Lytechinus pictus: one gene and its partner. The protein of the gene in region 1 interacts with the protein of each later gene in a pairwise test. Links are inferred from orthologs where the notes say so. Each region holds a gene or a part of one and is shown on either strand. Other genes may lie near its edges.

Region 1 (11,354 bases):
CCCCCCCCCCCCCCGACTAAAAGTGATATCCAACAAATTTGAAGAACTCACTGTGAATGCCTATATGGATCTAAAGATTAAAGACACAACCTGTGTATCACAATCATACCTCTTCCTAGGTGTTTGCAGACAAGTGCCTGTGCTAACATCATTTGACCACACCGTAGCATGCATCCCCATCCTTGGTCTGTTGTTGGTCCAGTTCCACCTGTCAAATACATCATAACATGAACTTATAGGCCCGCATTCTGAAGTCGATAAGTATGGATAGCCAATTATTACATAAATCACTAACGGTAGAGATATCATATTTCAGCTCATTTGGCTCTCAAATCATTCATAATTGTCTAGGAAGTATAAATAGATGATTGTCTTCACCATCAATGAATCAGGAAAGAGCTAAGTTAACATAAGAAACATACAACTCAATAAAAAATTTTGACACTTTTGGCTTCCCATAATTTTAGCACAGAGTTAGAACGTGGTCTAAGTTAAACCTGACTTCAGAATACGGGCCAAAGTCTTGAAAATGGATAAATGTCAGGTCTACCCCATCAAAAGGTAAACAAATAGGGAATTTAAAACAATCATAAAATAACACTGAATATTTCATTGAAATTGGATGTGAAATGAGGAAGATAAGTTTCACTTTATGCACAGCACAAGTGATGTGCAAATGAGATAGTCCATGGTATCATAAACTTCTGTATATTTTTTACAAGTATATGAAAAATTCTTTCAAATAATCTAATTAAAAGGGAGATATACTGTATAGAGGGCAGAGGTGGGGTATGGGCTCAGCAGCAACTGGTGAGGAAGGGCTACATGTATATCTGAAAGACCCTTTTACATATGACAATGACAGTCTTGAGAAAAATCCAAGTCTGGCTTCTAGTTGGTGGTGACTAAGGTCAAATTCTTCCAAGGAATTTCTTAGAGAAGTCTAAAGATTCATAGGGAACACTATTAAAGAAAAATAGGAATGGAGTTTGCGGATCAATCATCGATGAAGGAGGGGAATCGATCTCTTACCTATATTTGAGAACCCCTTGCGGTACGTGAACCACAACCTTGATAGGACATCCAGCCTGGCTTCTAGCTGGTGCTGCGTCAGGTCATATTGCTTCCCGAGGATCCAGATTGGTCCTAGGTCCGTGGGGAAGTCCTCAAAGGCCACCATACCACTCTCATAGGTTGCACATGCTGCATGGGGATAGAAGACCAAATGTGGCATGTTAGGTCCAGGTACTAATCTCTTTAGTCTAAACATGCAAGTCTACAATGCCTAGTATCACATTGTACCTATACAATCACTCATGCACTACAGGTATTATGCACAAGTATCATGTGCCTGTATTTCATGTTCAGTGCAATTGTGACAATGCACAAGTACCTGCAACTTTGATATTTACTTTTCAAATACTAAGTCAATTTTCAAGCAATGCAATCAATCAATGTTCTGTACATGCACATAATATACATACAGCACTATACTGTATAGATTCTTGGCACATATACAATTTGAGTCAAATCTATGACAATCAAAATCTGTTCAACTTTCTTTAAAGAGAGGTATTGAAATAATATGTTTTTGCATAATCTGGGGACCTGTTTCATAAAGAAATATAACTATTGAAACTTTGATTGTGATACAATACATACATGTACATGTACATGTATGTCAACCCAAGAAATAAACAATTATTCTATATGTACATGTACACTTCTAATTGTTACTATTATGAAAGCACCAAAACAGGCAATATACAACTTTAACAGCGAGTATTTCCTGTACAACTACATAAACAGTATACATGTGTTTCCTGTACAACTACATAGCGTACGCATATCAAGAAGTATGTATACATGTAGTTGCACAGAACTGTCTTCACCAGATACTGCTTACAAACACGTAGGCTGATAATTTGAACAAATTTGAATGAACAAAGGGATATAATAGAATCATTCAAAATGTAATAAAATACTATTAAAAAGAAAATTAAGTGACTATACAGGGTTCCCAGCTCTTCAAGAAAACAAAATTCCCTGATTTTTGGATCCCTGATGAAGTTTATAAATTTCCTGATTAATCATTTAAACCCAATTCCAGTTTCGCAAGTTGCTGCAGTGAATTACATATATTTTCAGTATAAAAACAATAATGTAAAAAATAATTAGTACCACCATAACCAGTCATTCAATGGATATTGTTTTGATATGCAACAAAATATAACAGAGTCTGACTGACTACCGTGCTTTCGACTTTTGGGCTGATCAAAATTCCCTAATTTTCCCTCATTTCAGTCACGCATCTTCCCCTGATTTGAGGTATTTTTAAAATCAAATTCCCTGATTTTTCCCTGACTGGAAAAAAGTAAAATAATTTTCCCTGATTTCCCTGATTGGCTGAGAAGTGGGAACCCTGCTATAACGTGTGAATCTTTATAGAAACTTAGTTTTTTTAATGTTTGCTTGATTTAATCATTTATTTTATTCCATTCAATGTTCTAATGATTCAAGAATTATTGTGCACAGGTCTGTATGTCATTGTTTTTTTTTTGTTCATACTGAAGTGTACAGTATATATAGAGTGGGACTTTGAACTGTACAGAGCAATATTTTGAAAAATATTGTCACTGTTTTTTCAGTTCAACAGACTACAAAAATAAATGAAAAAAACAACAACACAATTTATGCATCTGCTCCTACCCTCTACTCTACAAGGAACATCATACTTGCCTAAGTCTATACTTGAATAAATATTAACAGGATAGAAAGACATAGCTCTTGGCAGTGTAATAAAAAGTGTTCTGGTGCAAAAATCAATTCAGACACACAGTGCAAGGTGCACAGTACTATTAAAAACAAGTTTTCTCATACGTTGGATTAATAATATTCATGACGACGGATCAATCAATCCGGGTAGCAACAAAATTATCATTGTTAAAAGAAAACAAATATCCTGGGCTTTTCTGGTGCAAAAAATGTTCAGACACACATGCAAGGTGCTAACAAAACAAGTCCTCTGACTCCTCTCTATATTTGCAATGTTCATGAGTACTCAATCAATCCTGGAGCCGATCAGTATTAAAAAAACACACTAAATCCACATACTTTGTCATTGAAAACTATGTAAGCATTGAATGATGGAGTCAAACTGATTATGTTTTGGCATCAAAATGTAAAAATCTCTCACAGTAGCTACATGGATGGAACAAGTAAACTTATGCAAGTTCCCACAAATTATCCACATCACAGATGGGCATCATAAAGATTGTTCAAACTTCATTTGGTACACAACTGCAGTCTCCAAAATGTTCAATTATAAATCTTTCAATGTACAGTGCAATTGTATGTGTTCAACATCACAAATATCCGTGCAAGCAATAACAAATCCTGATTAAATCCTGTGTGGTATCCTTTTACATACAGTGTACATGTTCATTGTTACCCGATTGTTACTCAACAAAACTGTTTACTTTTACAATGAAATTAGCAGATTTGTCACTGTTTGCCTATGTGTCAAATACACATGAAATGGTGAGTAGGTGGCATCACGGTATTCTAATTTTAAGAACAGTCCCACAACACAAATGTCATCCTTGGCTTTACAATTCTCCAAAATGCACTGAAATATGTACATGTAGGAAAGAAGTGAGTCATGTATACCTGTACATGCATGTAATTAATAATAATAATGATATCAAGCAACACCTGGCCAAAGTTCATGATATTGATAAAGACCACGGAGAACTGGTGTCAACAGATAGATTTAAGATTAGATATGATTAAAGGACTAATTACATACAAAACACCAATAATGCTGGCATGTTGTATTGCAATGTATGTCAGAATGAATACCAGTCATTATCAAGTACTGGTACAAGTAGCTGGTATTTTGTGTAGAAAACAAAATTAAGCCATAACCCCCCCCCCAAAAAAAAAAAATAATAATAATAATAATAATAATTATTATTATTATTTGAAATTAAAATTTTTTAAAATCACAAGTTCCATTCATTCTTCATTCACTATAAAACAATAGTTCTAGTGGCTAAGATGATGTCCCTAACATACATGTATGATTTATTTTCCAATGCTTTTTTTCTAAGTTATCATTTCACCAAATGAATGTACCGATACTCAACACTTTAATATCACAGTGAAATATTCTTTCTCACTGCATGTATTTTCCTCGTCAGTAAACCTTGGTCCTTTGTAGGGCAAAGAGATATTTCCCTTCAAGCTTCCTGTAATAAGCAACCCATCGTTTTCATTAATAATAAACATGTGACTTGAACTCAATGTTTTGATCCATGTTCAATCTAATCTCCTCAAATAATACGAGTGCAAAGTCCAAATCACTATAAAGTCTAATATCAGTTTTCCCTTTATTTTTGTTTTCCTTATAAACTGCTCCCCCGTATTTTGATGTACACCTCAAAGTATCATATGTAAAGCAGGTCATGCTATTGAAGGCGGTCTACAGCAAAAGATTTATGTTGTAGGTAAACTTATGATTTGATATACATGTACATGTATTTGACTTCTGGATGAAGAAGTACATATACACTGTATGGATGTCATTTGTACATGTACACGTTTTAGCAGGGGAAAAGCTAAAAAAGAAAGATATAAATTCACAAAAATATCATTGGGAAGGAGTTCAAAATTTGATTTCAAGGCATTTCTGTAACATTTTGATTTAGTATTTTGTTCCTACCGGTATCTCTACACTATTTATGTATGCTACCGTATCAAGATGTTTTGCTACATGTACACCTCTTAATATCTCTAATTAGAAAATATTCTTTACGTTTTTTTAATTGAACTTCAATTTGAATATTCAATTTGAAATTTAGGTAAATAATTATGAACTTGGCCTCAAGTATACAACCCTCTAAAATGAAGTAATAAATTAATCTAATTTTCAAGAGAGAGAGATACATGTAAACATGTATATCATATCATCAAATTTGCATGAAATCTTTTCTTGCAACATCTTTACAAAGTCTTTTCCGAGAGGATTACAATGTACATACCCCTTTTGTAGTGTCTCTTCTTCATTTTATGAATCCATTCTAATATCATCAAGTGATCTGATCTACTATACGGAATAGAACCAATTAAGTCACAAACTCCAACAGGCTGAAGACAGAAATGCAACATCGGAGTATACGCAAACGTAGAACTGTCTTGCGCATGAAATCGTCGGCAAGTGTTGAAAATACAGTTTGTCTACGAGGAAATCGTGTTAAACTTTGTAATCGGAAATAGGCGTGGCACTTGCGGCGGGAGAGAATTTTCAGCAAACCATTAAGTCATGTGGACGCCGAGCACGAGCGAAACGAAATGACGTTGAACCCTAAAACTGTTTTGCAGAATAGAAGTAAAAGTCACTCAAGAATATTGCGCAACCCGGACAACCGTGATTCAATGTAAGTCAAGTCATGTTGACAATATTTCATAATGAGAATGGATTAAGGCCAGCAGTATAAAGTGGATTTAAGATGCTTTTGTAAAGATTCGCAGATTACCAGTACATGTCGCTCTACATGTACCTTTCAGACTGGTACTGGTAATCTTCCTCGAAAGCTTTACATGATCAATCATAAAATTTCTAATACTGACCTCGGAAACAACAATAAAATGTAAACTTGTTTTTTGTCTAGCTTAACCATTCAAAGACATTTAAGAGGGGTGAAACCTGGATATCGAATCAAAATCAGTATGGTTAAGAATATGAAACATACACAAAATAAAAGGCAACATATAAGAATTGCCAATACATAGACAACGCAACTTTTACTTCCCAGCGGTATTGCGCAATACACGGCTGACCAGTTTCAGTCTGCACGGCGGCCTGTCGCAATATGAAAATTCAAAACTGATTCCCAAAAAGCAATTAGACCCTTACCCATGAAGCGACCATGTTCACGCGATTCCAGTCGTTCAAAGTCATGACGACGATTTTCCATGACTTGGTATTGGCATGCATCGTCTTCCAAGAAATCAACAGAAAATCCCGTTATCATCATCCAAGTCAATGTTCAGTACAATGTCAATGCATGCAGTAAAATGCACTGCCACAGTCATATCCTGAACAATTACAGTACATGAAGTACATGTTATCTTTGTAAAGGATTCGAGTGGCATCATCATTCAATCATACCATACGATCTACACATTTCAAAACTAAATTACAAGACAATATTAACATATTTTAATCATTAACAAAAGATTGATTATGGCTTGCTTCCTCATCATTTTTTTTTCTTTCGAAGATGCACCGAAGCTTACAAGAGCAGCAGCCTTTGTTTCAGTTTCTATTACTCTTCATATAAAGTATCGCATAGCAAGGTACTTGAGACATAATCATTATTTTGATTAATTTCCACTTGTTTTCATCTGCAATGATTGTCGTCGATTACAAATGATGGCCTATTTAGCAATGATGTCATTATTCTTCAGAGCAGTATGAACTTCTCACAAAATGAACTGCAGATAAGTTAACTGTTGAAACATGTATCTCCTCAGAATCTTCAAGAAAAATTGAAAACTCTTTCATAATATACTGTACAGGGACTATTTTACCAAAAACCAAGTCCAATGTTCTCAATTATATATATCCAATTTATAATTTACTGGGTAGCTACAAAGGTTCTGTGATTTGAAAGGGCTATTCTTTAAATAAATCACTTTTGATATAAATATTATACATAAATATAAAAATATGATACAAATATTTTCCCCTTTTTAATAGGTATCGGTAGTCAATAGTCAGTTTGTAAAATGCAAATTCCAATATATACAAATTTCACCTATATTCTTCTAATTAAATAACAGAGAGTAACTTTATAAAGTATATTATGAATTATGATCATCATTTACATCCTCATGCATGCAACTTACACGGAACATGGACATGTATATCCCTCGACATACAGGAAAGCATATTCAGTCCTGATCGGTGTAGCTTCCTGGATGTTGCCATGGTAACCAATGATCCAATTCGCACAAAATGATACCAGTGTCCAAACTATCTCTTGACCACTATTGACTCATTCTTTAATCATATTTGTCAGAATTCATAACAATGTTAATACGGCAGGCTGTACAAGGCACAAATTTGGCTGTTTTGTTTTGTTAACAAAAACAGCAAAGAGTTGGAAATCGTAAAATCTGATGACGTAGAACTTTGCTACATGGCAGCAAGCACATCACAATTCCCGTGACTTCCTCTTCTTACATCCGTGCTGGCAGGAAAGGTTAAAGGTAAAGATGAGTTCATGTCAAGACTAGAAAAGCACAAAATTATATGCTCAAATAATATTCATTTTGAAATACCTGATTCTATAAAGTAGTGCGGACTTTCAGTAAACAGTAGGCCTACATGTACAGTGCAATAAACCTTAATTTGATGGTTGATTATTTTTAGATAAAAAGTGCAATCCAAATCAGAAGCAATAAATAATATTCCACACAATAATGGGTATATGTGGGGCTACACAAACCAATTTTGTCTAAACATGACGTAAGTAAGGTACACAAGTATTTCTTTCCCAGTCAGTAATCATACTGTATATCCAAAATTCTCCAGAACAAAACAACAGAACACGACACAATGCAAAAGTATATGCACCAAGCTCAAGTCTACATGAATCAGCTATTAAAGCCTCTATTGATCAAATCCTTCCAGGGCAAGGGTAGAAAGTCTTATTGGTTAATTATCTACAGCAGATTTCCAAGGATTCAATTACCAAAATCATCTAATTAACTTCAACGTCCTGTCTCTGTTACACTTATTTTGCAAAGATTAAGAACTTTGCAATGTCATGGGCAGAATTTAGGCAAGGCTTGTTTGTGGACCTATCCAACATATGAAAATAAAATCTGCATTAAAATTGGCATATTAGTTTCAACGATTCTCTCCAAATTCAAGCACTTCTGGGAACTTTAACACAAAAGCAGACAACATCTATTGTATTGAGTTGAGAGAATATGAGTTGGCTCTGAACTTCGACAATTTTTATTGAAGTAAAAAAAAATTGAGAAGGAACTATTTGCTCCAATTACAGGAAATATTGCAGAGATACATTAGAAAAGCTATGGCAAAAATTACATAACTGTACCAGGATATGCAAATTTCAAATAAGATATTATTGACAAAAAGATATTTACTTCGCTCAGGTTTTGCATTCATTTATTGCCTAATAAACAAAGTACAAACAGAATAGGGCTTTATTTTTAGAGTAAACAATTATATTGACAAGTCACAAGACAGTGAGATCCTGAATATTACACAATCTAGACTGTACTAGACATCACAAGTTTATTGCTAATCACCCTCTAATAGACTTCAATGTTCTAGATTACAGCATTTTAACTTAAATACATGATGTCATAATGTAAATCTTAAAGTTCACTTCTCTTGTCTGTGTGTAAGAGAGATTGTGACGTATCTGGATAAAATTCATATTCAAAGGAAATGACATTTACATACGTAGGCTTGTATTGAGCAGATCGCGCAACATACACAGACCTTGATCCCTACACATGTACCTGTTGTATGTAAGTGGAAAGTAAAATAATTTTGCTCAAAAATTAGAAAGTTAACAGTATTCACCAGATGGTTGTGCAGTAATTTTATCAAGAAAATTAGGAAAGGAAATGACTCATAATGGTTAAAAAAAAAACATACATGTATTCTTTGCTCCTAATTCACAAATTTTGAGGTTAGCAACTCAGCATTCGATGTCTGTATCAATCTTTTATTCAAAAGTTACAATTTTTTATATCAATACTTATTCTAAAAGCTCAATGTACAATGTAGGCCTATCTAGAAGTCACAGTTGACAAAAGTATGCATTTTTGCAAACAAAAAGGGTTGCCAAACAAAGCATCATGGCTATACATGTAAGGGGGTGGTGTTTCACAATTTAGAGTTAAGTGTAACTTAGAGTTGCACAATTAAATGGCCATTTGCGTGAGGTATATAGCGCATCATCGCACTGGTCAGATCATGAGCATTTGACCTGCACTTCCGAATATCAATCAATCAGATTATGCATTAAATAATGTGCGAGTTGGGGTTTAAGCATGACTCTATTAAAACAAAAAAGTCACATTTAACTCTTAACCACCCCCTGGAAAGATTTGAATGCTGTAATGTGCATTATGTTTCAGCTCAAAACTCATAAAACTCAACATTCATAAATAAAAAATGTACAACTTGAGAGTGCATGAATCAGCATTGCAACAAACGACAAAATTGACCCAAGACTGCAAGAAGATCTACATGTATGAGGTCCTTCCCTGTATAAAGCCTGTACATGTATACCAATTCACATGATTTATCAAGGGTACAATTCCTGCCCACATGATCACGCATTTCAATCTCCAATGACAATGCTAGGCTTTCGGAAACAATGGAATAATAGCTGATCTCAAGATATGTTTGACTTTCATATTCAAGATCTCTGTTCCATTAGACCTGGGTCCTGCCATACCAATGACCTTCACAAATATCGTGTACAAATCATTTGGTTGTAAACTTTGGTCGAAAACAAAACATCGCACAGAAATTCCTTCCAAATTTAATACCAGGTACATGTACTCAAAATACAATTGACACAACAATCACTTTTAATGCACACAGATGCATCACTAAAGACTCCATAATATCACGAGCCAATTACTGTTTCATAGGAATATAAAACAGTCTTGTAGGCTTTTCCTTTCAATTTTTTCAGGAGCAGTGCACAAGAAAAACTAAATTAACACAGCATGGGTACATACAGTCTTGTGACTCTTGTCAAATGTACAGATACTTCATGTAGCAATAGCAATAAGATTGTCTACAGTACATTCCAAGTATGTAAAGAAATGTTACATGTATGTACATGTAGACTGTGCATGAAGCATTGGACCAACATGTATAATATGAGTAACCCTTCCATGCCTCTGATGCAATCATATGCACAGAAAAGATATTGTCATTGATCACTGACTCATCAATTATCAGACAACACTTGTTGTGACAAATCAAGTCTTCATGTTTACGCAATGCCAATGACCTTGATGAGTCGCTCATATAAAGAGAGTAGGGTTGTAGTTCACAAGGAACTCAATACATTACCAAGTACAGTATGGGTTGGATTGAAAATGTTTTCTGGAAAAAAGAATACAGAAAGAAGGGCCATTTTCTCTGGGATTTATGTAAATTGTATTCCAGATACATACAGCTCTTATGACCATTTTTTTTTTAGCTTGCTACTGAAGCAAAACTCGAGATGTGCAAAATGCTATAAAATTCCATCTATTTTGTAAAGAGCTACGTTTTGTAGACTGTTTTGACCCCACCCCCTTCCAACACAAATCATACCCAAAGTCTCATTTAGACAAAGGCCATTAATAATACTTCCCCTTCTGCAGGAAAAGCAAGATAGTCTTCTTCCTTTCTCAAGGAAACTTTAGAAGTAGTACGGCAAATCAGTACTAAACTCATTGAATGAAAAATGTGTCTAGCACATCTTCATTCCACAACCATAGCAAAGTCTCATGGGTATTAGGCAAAAACTGAGATAGTAATTCACTTTGCAAGATACTGTATTTCTGATATATTGCTGTAATACATAGTATGCCATTACCATGGCAAAGCAGTGCCCGACACAACTGAGGATAAAGTTTAAACTGCCAGATTTGCAACCAACTGACTAAAAAACCTGACAATCCCCCCTCCCCCAACTCATACATTGATCACCGACACTAGATAGAGTTTTCATGTACCCCTTCAAAAGTTTAAAGTTTGCTTGATGGGGATAAACTTACAAAATAAAGATAATAATAATAACAATAATAGGTGAATAAAATAAATAAATAATTAGTTCAAAGATAAATTAATCATTACAAATAAATCAACTAATTAATTTCTAGTCAACAGATATTTTACTTGCCCCCCCCCCCGAAAAGAATATCAATAACCCTATTAAATAAAATACATAGAATATTTATGCACAAGTATGCTAAAGTTATTGATAGACAAAGTCACTCAATAACTTGGGAAGCTCAAAAGAGGGCGGCAACACAAATAAAATAAAATAACACATCTACAGATATAGAACTACACAGTGAGTAGAATGAGCATACAATGTACACATCAGGACAGAGCTTGTAAAAGTTTTTCTTCTTCCTCCTCCTGCTTCTCTCCCTCCTTACCCATCTCCCCCTCTTCCAGGGTCGGAATTACACAGGGGGGGAGGGGCGATTTTGCCCCCATGACAGCCCAAATCACCCCTAAAAATTCTCAAAACCCAATGCTTTGGGGCGACCATTTATTTCAGAATCGCCCCAAT
Region 2 (11,177 bases), on another chromosome or scaffold:
ACAGATTTTTGTGTTCATTTGAATTTGAACAGAGTACATGTAACACTTGTATGACATTAACTAACTCCAACTGAGAAAATGGAAATGAACTGGCATGGTATTAATCATAAAATGCGATTGATTGCAATGTGTCTTGTTTTCTCATGGCGCTAGATAGTTGTCAATACTATATAAGGCAAAGTTTTGGTGAAGGCAAAATGTTTTTCGTTGAAAAAACACATTAAGGTAATAGAATGTAGTTGCAGCAAACAGATATTTCATGAGAAAGTCTTTGAAATCATGTTAATTGTCACCCCATTATCATAGATTAAGAGCTGGTATGTTCTTATCTTTGTGAAATCGTGAAATCTTAGATGAAAACTGACAACACTTTTGACCACTACATGTATATTGCTTGGAAAAATACCTGACATTTGATGGAATTCCTTGTTTATTTTCTAATTTCTAAGCAATTTCTTCAAGAGCCAATCAGCTAGTAATCAGCCCATATACATACCAACACTTGGGTAGTAAATTTATTGGATTCTGTTCGAACTCATTTCGAGACTGGCATTTCTCTTTAAATGTCAAATCCACCCAACAAAAGTGTTGATTTGAATCAATAGAGAAAATCAAACAAGCCTAACACTGAACCTTGAAGTAATAATCCCTTTTGCATCTCATACTGGAAGCTAAACTGGGATGGGTGCATGTGCAGTCAATGGCCGACAGTGACGTTGGAGGTTATTTACAATAAAAAGTGGAGGGTGCAAGTAAAAACATGGCCATTCAGTTTACAATATAAACCAAAGTCCAGCAGGTGGCTGCAAACTTCTGATAACTGGGAAGGCAGCCGCCTGGAAGGTAGTGAGGGAAGGTGTGTTGATAGCTGAAAAGGGAAGACTGTTCCAGATTCTCACAGTACGAGGATATTTGAAAGCGTCTACGGAAGCATCAGGTATGGTGAGCTTGAGAGGAAGATCTTGTCTGCTTATGAAGAGAGCTGCTTTAATGTTGATAGGGAGTGGAATATCCACAATTTTATGATAGATTTTGAAGAACATAAATTTCATCGTGATCAGATGTAAAATAAGAAATTTATGACAATTTAAAGTTTTGCTCATCTTTTCAAAACATGAATGCCCAACTCAGAAATGAGAGAGCTGATTATGTCACTCATTCATAATTTTTTTTCTATTGTTTTAATGAATACAATAGACCTAGCTCTATTTATTATTTTTTATTATAGATTCGACAATAAATTTAAGGACCCTCTTGACCGAACCACAAAATCTTAAAACAATGGATATGATCTTGTCCATGTACATGTAGATCTACACTGGATGAGTGGATATTCCAAAGTTCTGGGAGGAATAAAACTATGTTTCACATCAGGATAAAATTCAAATATTTCATACTCTCTCTCATCATACAACATGGGCATGATGCATGGATTTCATTTTTTTTCCTTTACCTTGATCTGTTGATTGCAGACATTTTGTAAGCCAAATCAAAAGGCCAACTGCTGTCCCAGCAAAACGACAAAAAGAAGCAACTCTCTGTGACGATTGGGAGGAACCCGAATTACTTTTCACAAACAGGAGGAAAAAGCCCCGGGGTAAAAACATACCTTAATTTCACGTAAACACGTTTGGCTAGTCTTAAAAAAAAAGCTTTTGGGGAAAAACACATATCCTAAATACGCTTCAACTCCGCAATTGACCATTGACCAGTCTTTCAAAATCACCTTTTTGTGTGGAAAATCTGTGTTTTTGATACCCTTAATGAGCGGGGTCTAAAAAACGAGTGCATGTGTGGTCCGCATCCAAAACTGAAAAAATACCCTTAAAGAACGTGTTTTTTGGCAACGTATGTGTACAGCAATATATTTGACTGCCCCCCCCCCCCCAGTGGAGGCGCACGACCAATATGGGAGACTGTCTCCCATGAGAGAGATTATCTCCAATATCTGAGACTTTTGTAAAGAATTTGGAATTCTTATTTCAGAGACAGTCTCCAGTTTGGGAGACCAATTTCCTTTGTTAACATTTGCTTCAAAAGGATTACCTTGCTCTTGGCGGCAAATAAAAGCAGAATCCTCATGAAAAATTACCCCTTTTCACCATAATCTACTTTTGTTTTAATATTACTAGGATTTTTGTTGTCATCCACACACACAACAAATGGGCTTCTGACTTCAGTGAGACAAAATTTTGGGTGGAAAAAATTACGCTTTTGACTTTTTTGTATAATTAATTATAAAAAAATGTTTCTTGGACTTGGCATGCATGCAGTTTCTTTTGTTCTTGTTTGCCTTTTGCAAAGCAAGTATGGGAGATTATCTCCCGTATTGGAGAGTCTCCGGCATTATCGTGAAATTGGGAACCAGTTCCTAATTTCCAAAGGACACTTTTTCACGACAAGACATGACCTACCTACCTTTTCGAGCTTGTTCACTGCTTCACCGCAGCTGGCGCGCTGATTCTAGATAAAGTAATCCTTCAAAGAGCTTAGATCAGAAAGATTGATTTCGTCGCCGTCTTTTCTCTACTCGCTAAAATGGGAACCAGCGCATACAACTCTATGGAAAATTCTCAATAGAGTTGTACACGCTGGTTCCCATTTCAGCGAGTAGATAAAGACAGATTACTAGTGATATTTATTTCGTTAGTGATGATTCTCTGACGAAATAAAGCTGATTAATAAACTGTCTTTATCTACTCGTGAAAATGGGAACCATTATAATTCAGGAGAATTTTCTTAGATGGTTCCCATTTTGAAGAGTAGATATAGAGAGAGAGAATGCCAATGAGATTTATTTGGTCAGTGATGATTCTGACGAAATAAATCTAACAAATTGTCTTTATCTACTCGTGAAAATGGGAACCAACATGTATAATTCATGATAATTTTCTTAGATGGTTCCCATTTTGGCGATTAGATTTAATAAACTACTTTACTCTACTCGCCAAAATGGGAACCAGTGCGTACAACTCTATGGAAAACTCCCCATAGAGTTGTACACACTGGTTCCCATTTTAGCGAGTAGAGTAAACTAGTTTACTCTACTCGCTGAAATGGGAACCAGCGCGTACAACTCTATGGAAAACTCCACATAGAGTTGTACACGCTGGTTCCCATTTCAGCGAGTAGAGTAAACTAGTTTAATCTACTCGCCAAAATGGGAACCAGCGTGGAAAATTCTCAATAGAGTTGTACACGCTGGTTCCCATTTCAGCGAGTAGATAAAGACAGATTACTAGTAATATTTATTTCGTTAGTGATGATTCTCTGACGAAATAAATCTGATTAATAAACTGTCTTTATCTACTCGTGAAAATGGGAACCAGCATTTATAATTCAGGAGAATTTTCTTAGATGGTTCCCATTTTGTAGAGTAGATATAGAGAGAGATTGCCAATGAGATTTATTTCGTCAGTGATGACTCTGACGAAATAAATTTCACTAGTAAATTGTCTTTATCTACTCGTGAAAATGGGAACCAGCTATGCTGGTTCCTATTTTCACGAGTAGATAATACAGTTTACTAAAGTGATTCATCCCCAGATATATCTTGTTTGTGATTTATTTAGTGAATCGATTTTGTAATATAAGTTTTTGTCAACATTGTGAAAGTGGCAGAGTGGTCTCGAAGAGCAGGAAAATGCGGGGTAGATGGATAATTACAAAAATTATAATTCCGCGGAATCGTCGATGTCATCTGAAAACTTGTCCACCCATGGCAAACTGAGCCCGTTAAACATCGCATGAGGAAAGAGGTAACCAGTTGTGTGAGGAGCTTCGCATCGTAAACAAAGTCTCTCGCATCAATTCTTTTCAAAATCGCCGAAGCGAAGATTCTTTACATATCGTGGTAAAAGGAGGTACAAGTTCAATTTGGCTACCAGTTCCCAAAAGCACGGAATGGCCGAGTCTCCCATTGGCCGTGCGCCTCTACTGCCCCGAGAGAATGATGTTAAGGTCCCTTCTCACTTTAAAATTCTGTTTCATTTGCATGCATTTCTATTGCACTCATTGCCATTGGCTTATAAGTTATGCCGCCCTAGTAATGCCATTGCTGCCAATGCACCCCCATTGCAATTGCGAAATCAACAACAAACCGAACGATTTGTCACTGCCTGACTGCACTGATGACTGGTCATTTCCTTACTTACCGGTACTCTATCGGGATATTTCTTCCTAATTTTTTCTCCTTCTTGTCTCCTCTTTTCGAAGGGGTGTTCTTCTTTATATAACCACTTCATTTCAATTCGTTAACCTACAAGTTGAGAAGAAAAAGATCTTTATACCAAAATACAATCGTCGTCTATCGTTTCACCATTTGCTTTTGTTGACAAAATGGCGAGCCGAAGGTCTCCCTCATCTCGAGAACCATGCAGGTAAAATATAGGTCTAAAATGTGATTTTCAGGAGATTGGAATGAATTTTTTTCATTACAAATACATGAAAATTTCGTTTTTATTATAAACCGTGAGTTATACAGCAAAAGAGGGCATTTTTCTTTTCATTTACCAATTAAATATGAACGCGGAAGGATATTATTTTGATCAACCTAGTGACGAAATTGCGTCACTTTGGGTATTCCCATCCCGTACATTATTGTACGCATCAGCTGGTGTACTGTTACTAAAAATAGCAAAGTCGTCATACGTTCGACACCCCTCCCCCGGCCCCAAAACATCGTAGTCATAAAGTTGGCAAAGCTCACCCCGGCCCGTAGCTCACATGCATTGCCAGAGCTAGACAGCTGGCAGCCGTCTGTTTCGAGGAGTTTTTGAACATTTTTAATTTTTGTTTAAATTTCTCCTCGTACACATTTTGGTGAGTGGAGCCAACGGAGTTCAGCGGAACAACCAACATATAGTCCGGGAGCAAAATCTCATAGGGGCCCTATTTCAAGGGATGGGCCGGGCTGAAAGTATTTATAGCTTAATAAATAGAGTAGAATTCACTGAGCAAAATGCCAAAAATTTCATCAAAATCGGATAAAAAATAACAAAGTTATTGAATTTTAAAGTTAAGCAATTTTTTTGCGTAAACAGTCGTCATGAGTATTCATTAGGTCTGATGATGTCACATCCCCACTTGTTTTTTTGTATTTTATTATATGAAATTAGGTTTATTCAAAATTGTTCCTCCAAGAACTAGAAAAATTGGATTGACAACTGATTTAGTGCATTAGATAATTATTGCTGCAACTTATTTCAATATAATTAAAGGGAGACATATATTCACACAAGTATGAAATAATGAAAAAATTATGATTTTATGTAATAACATAAGAAAACGGAAAGTGGAGATGTGACATCATCAGCCCACCTAATGAATATTAATGACGACTGTTTTCACAAAATATTGCTAAACTTTAAACTTCAATAACTTTATTATTTGTTATCCGAATTTGATGAAATTTTCGACATTTTGCTCAGTGAATTCTACTCTATGTATTAAGATATATATATTTTCAGCCCGGACCATCCCTTTAAGGAGTTCGTACAACCCACACCACAGAAAAGGTTTGACACCATAGGGGGGTAGTATGGACCCTCTAGCAAGCCTTGAAATAAGCAGCTGCAGACCAGGGGCAATTTTTCAAAAAAAATTGCCCCCGGCTCACGGGCTTTTTACAGGAACCGGGGGCAATTAAAAAAATATATATACAACGGTGAACCACACCGCAAATTTGTTTATAGTAAGCGCAGCTCCTGCAATTTTTTTAACATGAATAGCATGCTAAGTATTAGGCTTATTCAAACATTTAAGAAATCAGATTTAAACGTTTAAGTGTGTTTTGACACCCTCACTCCACATCCCCTTTACAACCACACACACATGGGCTTATTTATTTTTTCATCTTTAATGAACCATGAACCCCCCCCCAAAAAAAAAATCTAAATAAATGAATAACATAAAAATATTTAAAAAAAGAGAGAGAGATGGAGAAAGAGAGAATTCAGATCAAATGATAAATTTAGAAAAAAAAAATAATTTTTAAGGTTTTTTTTTCATGGTTAGAATCACGGGTGTGGGTGAGTGTTTGTATGTGATTGTGACTGAGGTGCATGTATTGCATATAAATTATGTTAAAGAAATGAAGAAATGAAATCAATATCTAACTCAGTCTAGTCAAATTCCAGCACATAGCCCCCGGGGGGGGCCACTTACATTGACGAGTGGATACCATGCGCGACCAAAAAAACACGTAAAAAGGATGTCTTTTTCACGATAGGGCACGTTACGTACGTAACGTGATAAGGGTGTCAAAAACACAAAAATAATGAAAAAAGGGTATCTATTTCGCTAGGCCCTTACGTGTTTAGGGTCGAATTTGCGGGGATGATAAATTAAAATTAAAATGTTTTATAAAGGATGTCCTTTTTGCCCCAACACTTCGTGTTTAGAGTCCAATTTGCGCGAGGTGTAGAAGATGGGGTCGTACTAAACCAAATTAGGTAAAGCCGACGACCGAAGGACCCGTAACAATAAAACATTCCTGTACTTGTTTAGGGGTTCATTTCAGGGAATATTTGCCAAGAGTATCGTTTTGTTTCCAATACTTGTTAAGGGTAGGGTTTCACACGCCAAAACTTGTTAAGGGGTGCATTTTCAGAATATGGAAATTACGTGTTTAGGGTGCTTTTCGAGACCCCATGGTCGCGCATGGTATCCACTCGTGAATGGAACTGGCCCCCCCGGGACATAGCCACACTAGGCTATGTACATGAATTGTAGGTTCATGTACCTTACGTTTTTCACAAGTTATTTGAAAACGCAGATCTCCACAGAAAATGCCCTTCATTCTGGGAGAGTCTAAATTCGGTGAAAATGTATTCATTAATAACTTAAATATTCATCACAATGAAGAAATCATAAAGTTTTTTGACAGTTTTCAAAAATTAACATGAAATCTAAACTCTATCTGAAACGGAAAATCACCATCACTTAGGCCATTACTGATAGAATTCTCACCCAGAGCTAGCTCTGGCAGAGAACATGAGCTCAAACTGGCTAGCTAACACCACACTCAAGTGCACGGCGTCCTCCTATTCTTTTTTTAGATGGAGCCTTGTTTGATGATTTATTGTCTGATATTTACCCCTCTCCAATAAAGAAATTAAAAAGCTATAATTCACAACTATAAGCTAAGTGATTTTGGATTATTAAGGCTCCGTTTTGACAAGCAAAGTCGGCGACTGTGAAGAAATAAGACTCGCACATCGTATGTGCTGTGAACAGGGATTTATCTCCTGTGCAATTCGAATTACTATATCACAGTATTGTGATATCCCAACTGGAAATGTATGCATTAGAAATTGCACATGGTGAAGTATAGAAAAACCGCTACCGGAAGCACGCGCGCACATGTATTACAGAAAAAAAACGGACGTAGCTCACTTTTTATGGTACAGAAAAAAAGACGCACTTGGCAATTTGAAACTGTGCTTATTGTAAATTGAAAGTTACTTGATTTTGGCTTTTCAGATATTTAAATTAAATGTATGATATGGCTTCACTGCTCACTCACGGCGGGCCGGCGCAATTACCTGGAAAATATTTGCGCCCGGTCGTCAAAATTTTGATGATTTGGGGGCTTTATGGGCGCAATTATTGATGGCTTTATGAGCGCGAATTTGCGCTCAGCGCCCGCTTATTTCTAGGCTTGCCCTCTAGATTACTGCTAGGTAGGTAATAGTCTCAAATTGTGGTATCACTTTTTTTCTACAGTCGAATTTAAAGAGCAATGTAAAATAGCAAAAAATTGAGAAAAAAAATCAATAACCTTTAAGGGTATAAGGTTAAATGTAAGTTGCCATAGGCCTATCTCCGCTTGTATATGCCATAAATACGTCATTTATGTATCAACATGTTGCTGGGTGACAGCTCTAACGTAACAGTAACATTTAAAAGTGAAATTGAGATATCAAACCTTCAAATTACGAATACATGCACTCATGGCCAATATCCACTTCCATCTCAAGTAGATATGAAAAAATTGATACGATAAAGTGATTTTGTGTTGTTAAACATGAGGCGCTCTATATAACTACAATGTGACTAAATATGCGTTATTCATAGCAAAATGAAGATTTTGGCAATATTTGTTAAACATTTCAGATATGTTTTAACTACCATATATGGGCTACTTTTCACAATCTTGTAGTGCCGTCAGTTTGAGATCCAACGCTGCATGAATCAATAATCATTTCTTGTTCACTGGGGATATAATCTGATCCCAACCATATTCCATTTTCTTTCTTCAAACTCAATTTATTTCTAATTTCTTTAAATTGTAAATTCTTTTGTAGGGTTTATTGGCAGAAATGCCTCCGGGGGGGGGGAATGGGGGGTGGCTGCCAAAGTCAACCCATCCTTTTTCCGAAGTTTTTATATTTCTTGGAAAATTTGCCAATTCGAAGTCCCTATTGAGGCAGATAGCATTTCTACTATGTAGTAAACCCTCTTTTATTCATTTGAAACCACTTTAAGACAAAGGAGTAACCCTTTATATATCTGTTTTAAATAAAGAGGTGCTGGCAACCTTCTCGCGCAGGGGGGCTGCCAAAGTCACCCAGCTAGTTTCAGTATTTTGTCTATTTATGTAAAAATCTGCCATTTTGAGGCCCCATTGAGGCAAATAGAACATTTCTGCTAAGTAGTAATGCCACTTTTATTGTCATGAAATCACTTGGGGACAAAATAGTAGGCTTTTCTCTAGCGGCTGCATATAAGGATGTGCTAGGGAATTTGAGCCTACCCCCTCAAGGGCCTGCCGAAGTTACCCACCCCTTTTCCGTATTTTGCCTATTTGTGGGAAAATCTGCCATTTTGGAGCCCCCATTGATTCAAAAAGCTATTCATGTTGTAAAACAAGCCACATAAATCCCCTTAATACTATAGGGAGGTGAAAGAGTAGTCATTCTTCTATCAGCTACATATAAGGAAGTGCGATAAGTCGAAGCCTATATGTCCCCTCACGGAAGTGCCTAAGTCACCCACCCCTTTTTCGAATGTTGCCTATTTATAGGGAAATCTGCTAATTTGGAGCCCCTAATGAGGCAAAAAGCTGTTTCCGCTGTAAAGCAAGTCACTTTATTTGTCTTATAACTACTTGGAGACAAAAACATACCTATTTCTCTATCAGCTGCATACAAAGAAGTGCTAGGAAATTGAAGCCTATCCCCTCAGGGGCCTGCCGAAGTCACCCACCCCTTTTTCGAATTTTGCCTATTTATAGGGAAATCTGCCAATTTGGAGCCCCTAATGAGACAAAAAGCTGTTTCCGCTGTAAAGCAAGCCACTTAATTCGTCTTATAACTATTTGGAGACAAACAATTATCTCTTTCTCTATTAGCTGCATACAAAGAAGTGCTATAGGAAATCGAAGCCTACCCCCTCAGGGGCCTGCCGAAGTTACCCACTCCTTTTTCGTATTTTGTTTTTTTTTGGAAAATCTGTCATTTTGGAGCCCCCATTGAGACAAAAAGCTGTTTCTGCTGTAAGGCAAGCCGCTTAATTCGTCTTACAACTATTTGGAGACAAACGAGTACTTTTTTCCCTATCAGCTGCATATAAAGAAATGCTAGGAAGTCGAAGCCTATCCCTTAGAGGCCTGCCAAAGTTACCCACCCCTTTTTCGTATTTTGCCTATTTATGGAAAATCTGCCATTTTGGAGCCCCCATTGAGGCAAAAAACTGCTTCCGCTGTTTACGATACAGCAAAAATGCCCTTTTGCTCCAATGGGGATGCCAAAAGACGATATTTCTAAATACATGTCAAGTTCGAAAAAGGGTGAGGTAACTTAATTTAACAGTTTCTTGTAAAAATAGGCTTTTAATATGCCAGGATAATATTTTGAGCAAATATCTCCTCAATGATATTTGCAGGAGATCAATAAAAAAAAAAGAGCTGCTTCACTAAAATATGCGTTAAATCTACTCCTAGGTCATTTCCATCATAAGTTCATGCCCTTTCTTATTCTACTTGCTTGCTCGCCTCTCTATATGCTCTTTTCTACTCCTCTCTTTTCTTCCTTTCCCTTCTCTTGCCCTTACTTTTTAATTGTTGTTTACTCATGGTTTTAAAGGTATCCCGATTTCCGACAAAGGCATCTGCTTTCTGGGTTTTTGTGCATTCTTCCATGTACAATTTATATAATAAATGTCAATTGGAATAAAATAGATGTTTAATTGAATTGAAATGAAGTTAAATAATACAACAAAACCTGCGACATTCCTTCAATTACTTTACTCATTTCAAATGAATGGGAATACTGAGTATATAGTAACATTCATCTGAGAATTAAACTTGATCATCAGAATTTGCAATGTAAACTTCTTTGAAAATTATCACGAAGTAGAGATTTTCACTTCGAAATGTTTGTCGTATCACTGGGCCTATCATCCATGTAGTATCATTTTAATACTTGTTCTTTAGGTGGCGGAGATCATCTTACTTATTGGGGGGGGGGGGGGGTTGATATAAAAAAGACTATGAGGGGGAAAACGACTTGGAAATATTTACATTTTATGATGTTCAGTAATGAATACTGTTGTAAAAATGGGGGCTCGTGGCCGTTGACCCCTAAACAAACTTCATGATAAAAAAAATAAGTTAGAAGAAAGAAAAGGAAAGGAAAAGGAGGAAATATAATATTTTCTGGATAATATGTCATAATCTGTCAAAAACCTAATCAATTAAAAACGTATTTTTTGGCTCAATCGCTTCGGTCGCGCACAGTTCCTTAGATATTTTCCCCATACTCCATGTCTGGCTCCATCATTTACATTTTTGAGGGCGGGGTCCTACGCCAGTGGTAATGAATTTGGTGTGGATTAGATTATATCGCCAGTAAAAAGTAACTCTAATCGATTTAAGCAGAGTTGGATCCCAAACAAACGGCACTTCAAGATTGTAAATAGTAGCCCGCAGGCTAGTGAGAACATATCTGAAAATGTTTAAAAATCTTCATTTTTTATGAATAACGCATATTTAATGCAAGTATAGTTTTATAGAGCGATACATAATTATTTAAACACAAAAATTAATTCATCGTGTCAATTTTTTCATATCTACTTGAGATAGAAATGGACACTGGTCATTAGTGTATTCCTAATTTGAAGGTTTGATATCTCAATTTCACTCTTTAAATGTTGCTGTAACGTAGCTGTCACCCAGC

Evidence for each region.
Region 2: the proteins of cysteine protease ATG4B-like (region 1) and gamma-aminobutyric acid receptor-associated protein interact in binary tests that used the Caenorhabditis elegans proteins (3 or more experiments, as listed by UniProt). The link is inferred for Lytechinus pictus from reciprocal best matches to the Caenorhabditis elegans genes atg-4.1 and lgg-1.

Annotation. Positions count from the first base shown.
Region 1 is NC_087260.1:27,171,105-27,182,458, reverse strand, and holds the start of cysteine protease ATG4B-like, read right to left. Parts: upstream 5,185-11,354; 5' UTR 5,170-5,184; coding exon 5,043-5,169; intron 3,631-5,042; exon of another isoform or gene 2,783-3,630; coding exon of another isoform or gene 2,740-2,782; intron 1,204-2,739; coding exon 1,033-1,203; intron 209-1,032; coding exon 110-208; intron 1-109. UniProt on the Caenorhabditis elegans protein: Cysteine protease required for autophagy. Cleaves the C-terminal amino acid of ATG8 family proteins lgg-1, to reveal a C-terminal glycine.
Region 2 is NC_087258.1:11,680,370-11,691,546, forward strand, and holds the start of gamma-aminobutyric acid receptor-associated protein, read right to left. Parts: upstream 4,551-11,177; 5' UTR 4,245-4,550; coding exon 4,155-4,244; intron 1-4,154. UniProt on the Caenorhabditis elegans protein: Ubiquitin-like modifier involved in the formation of autophagosomal vacuoles (autophagosomes). When lipidated mediates tethering between adjacent membranes and stimulates membrane fusion during autophagy. Recruits lipidated-lgg-2 to maturing autophagosomes.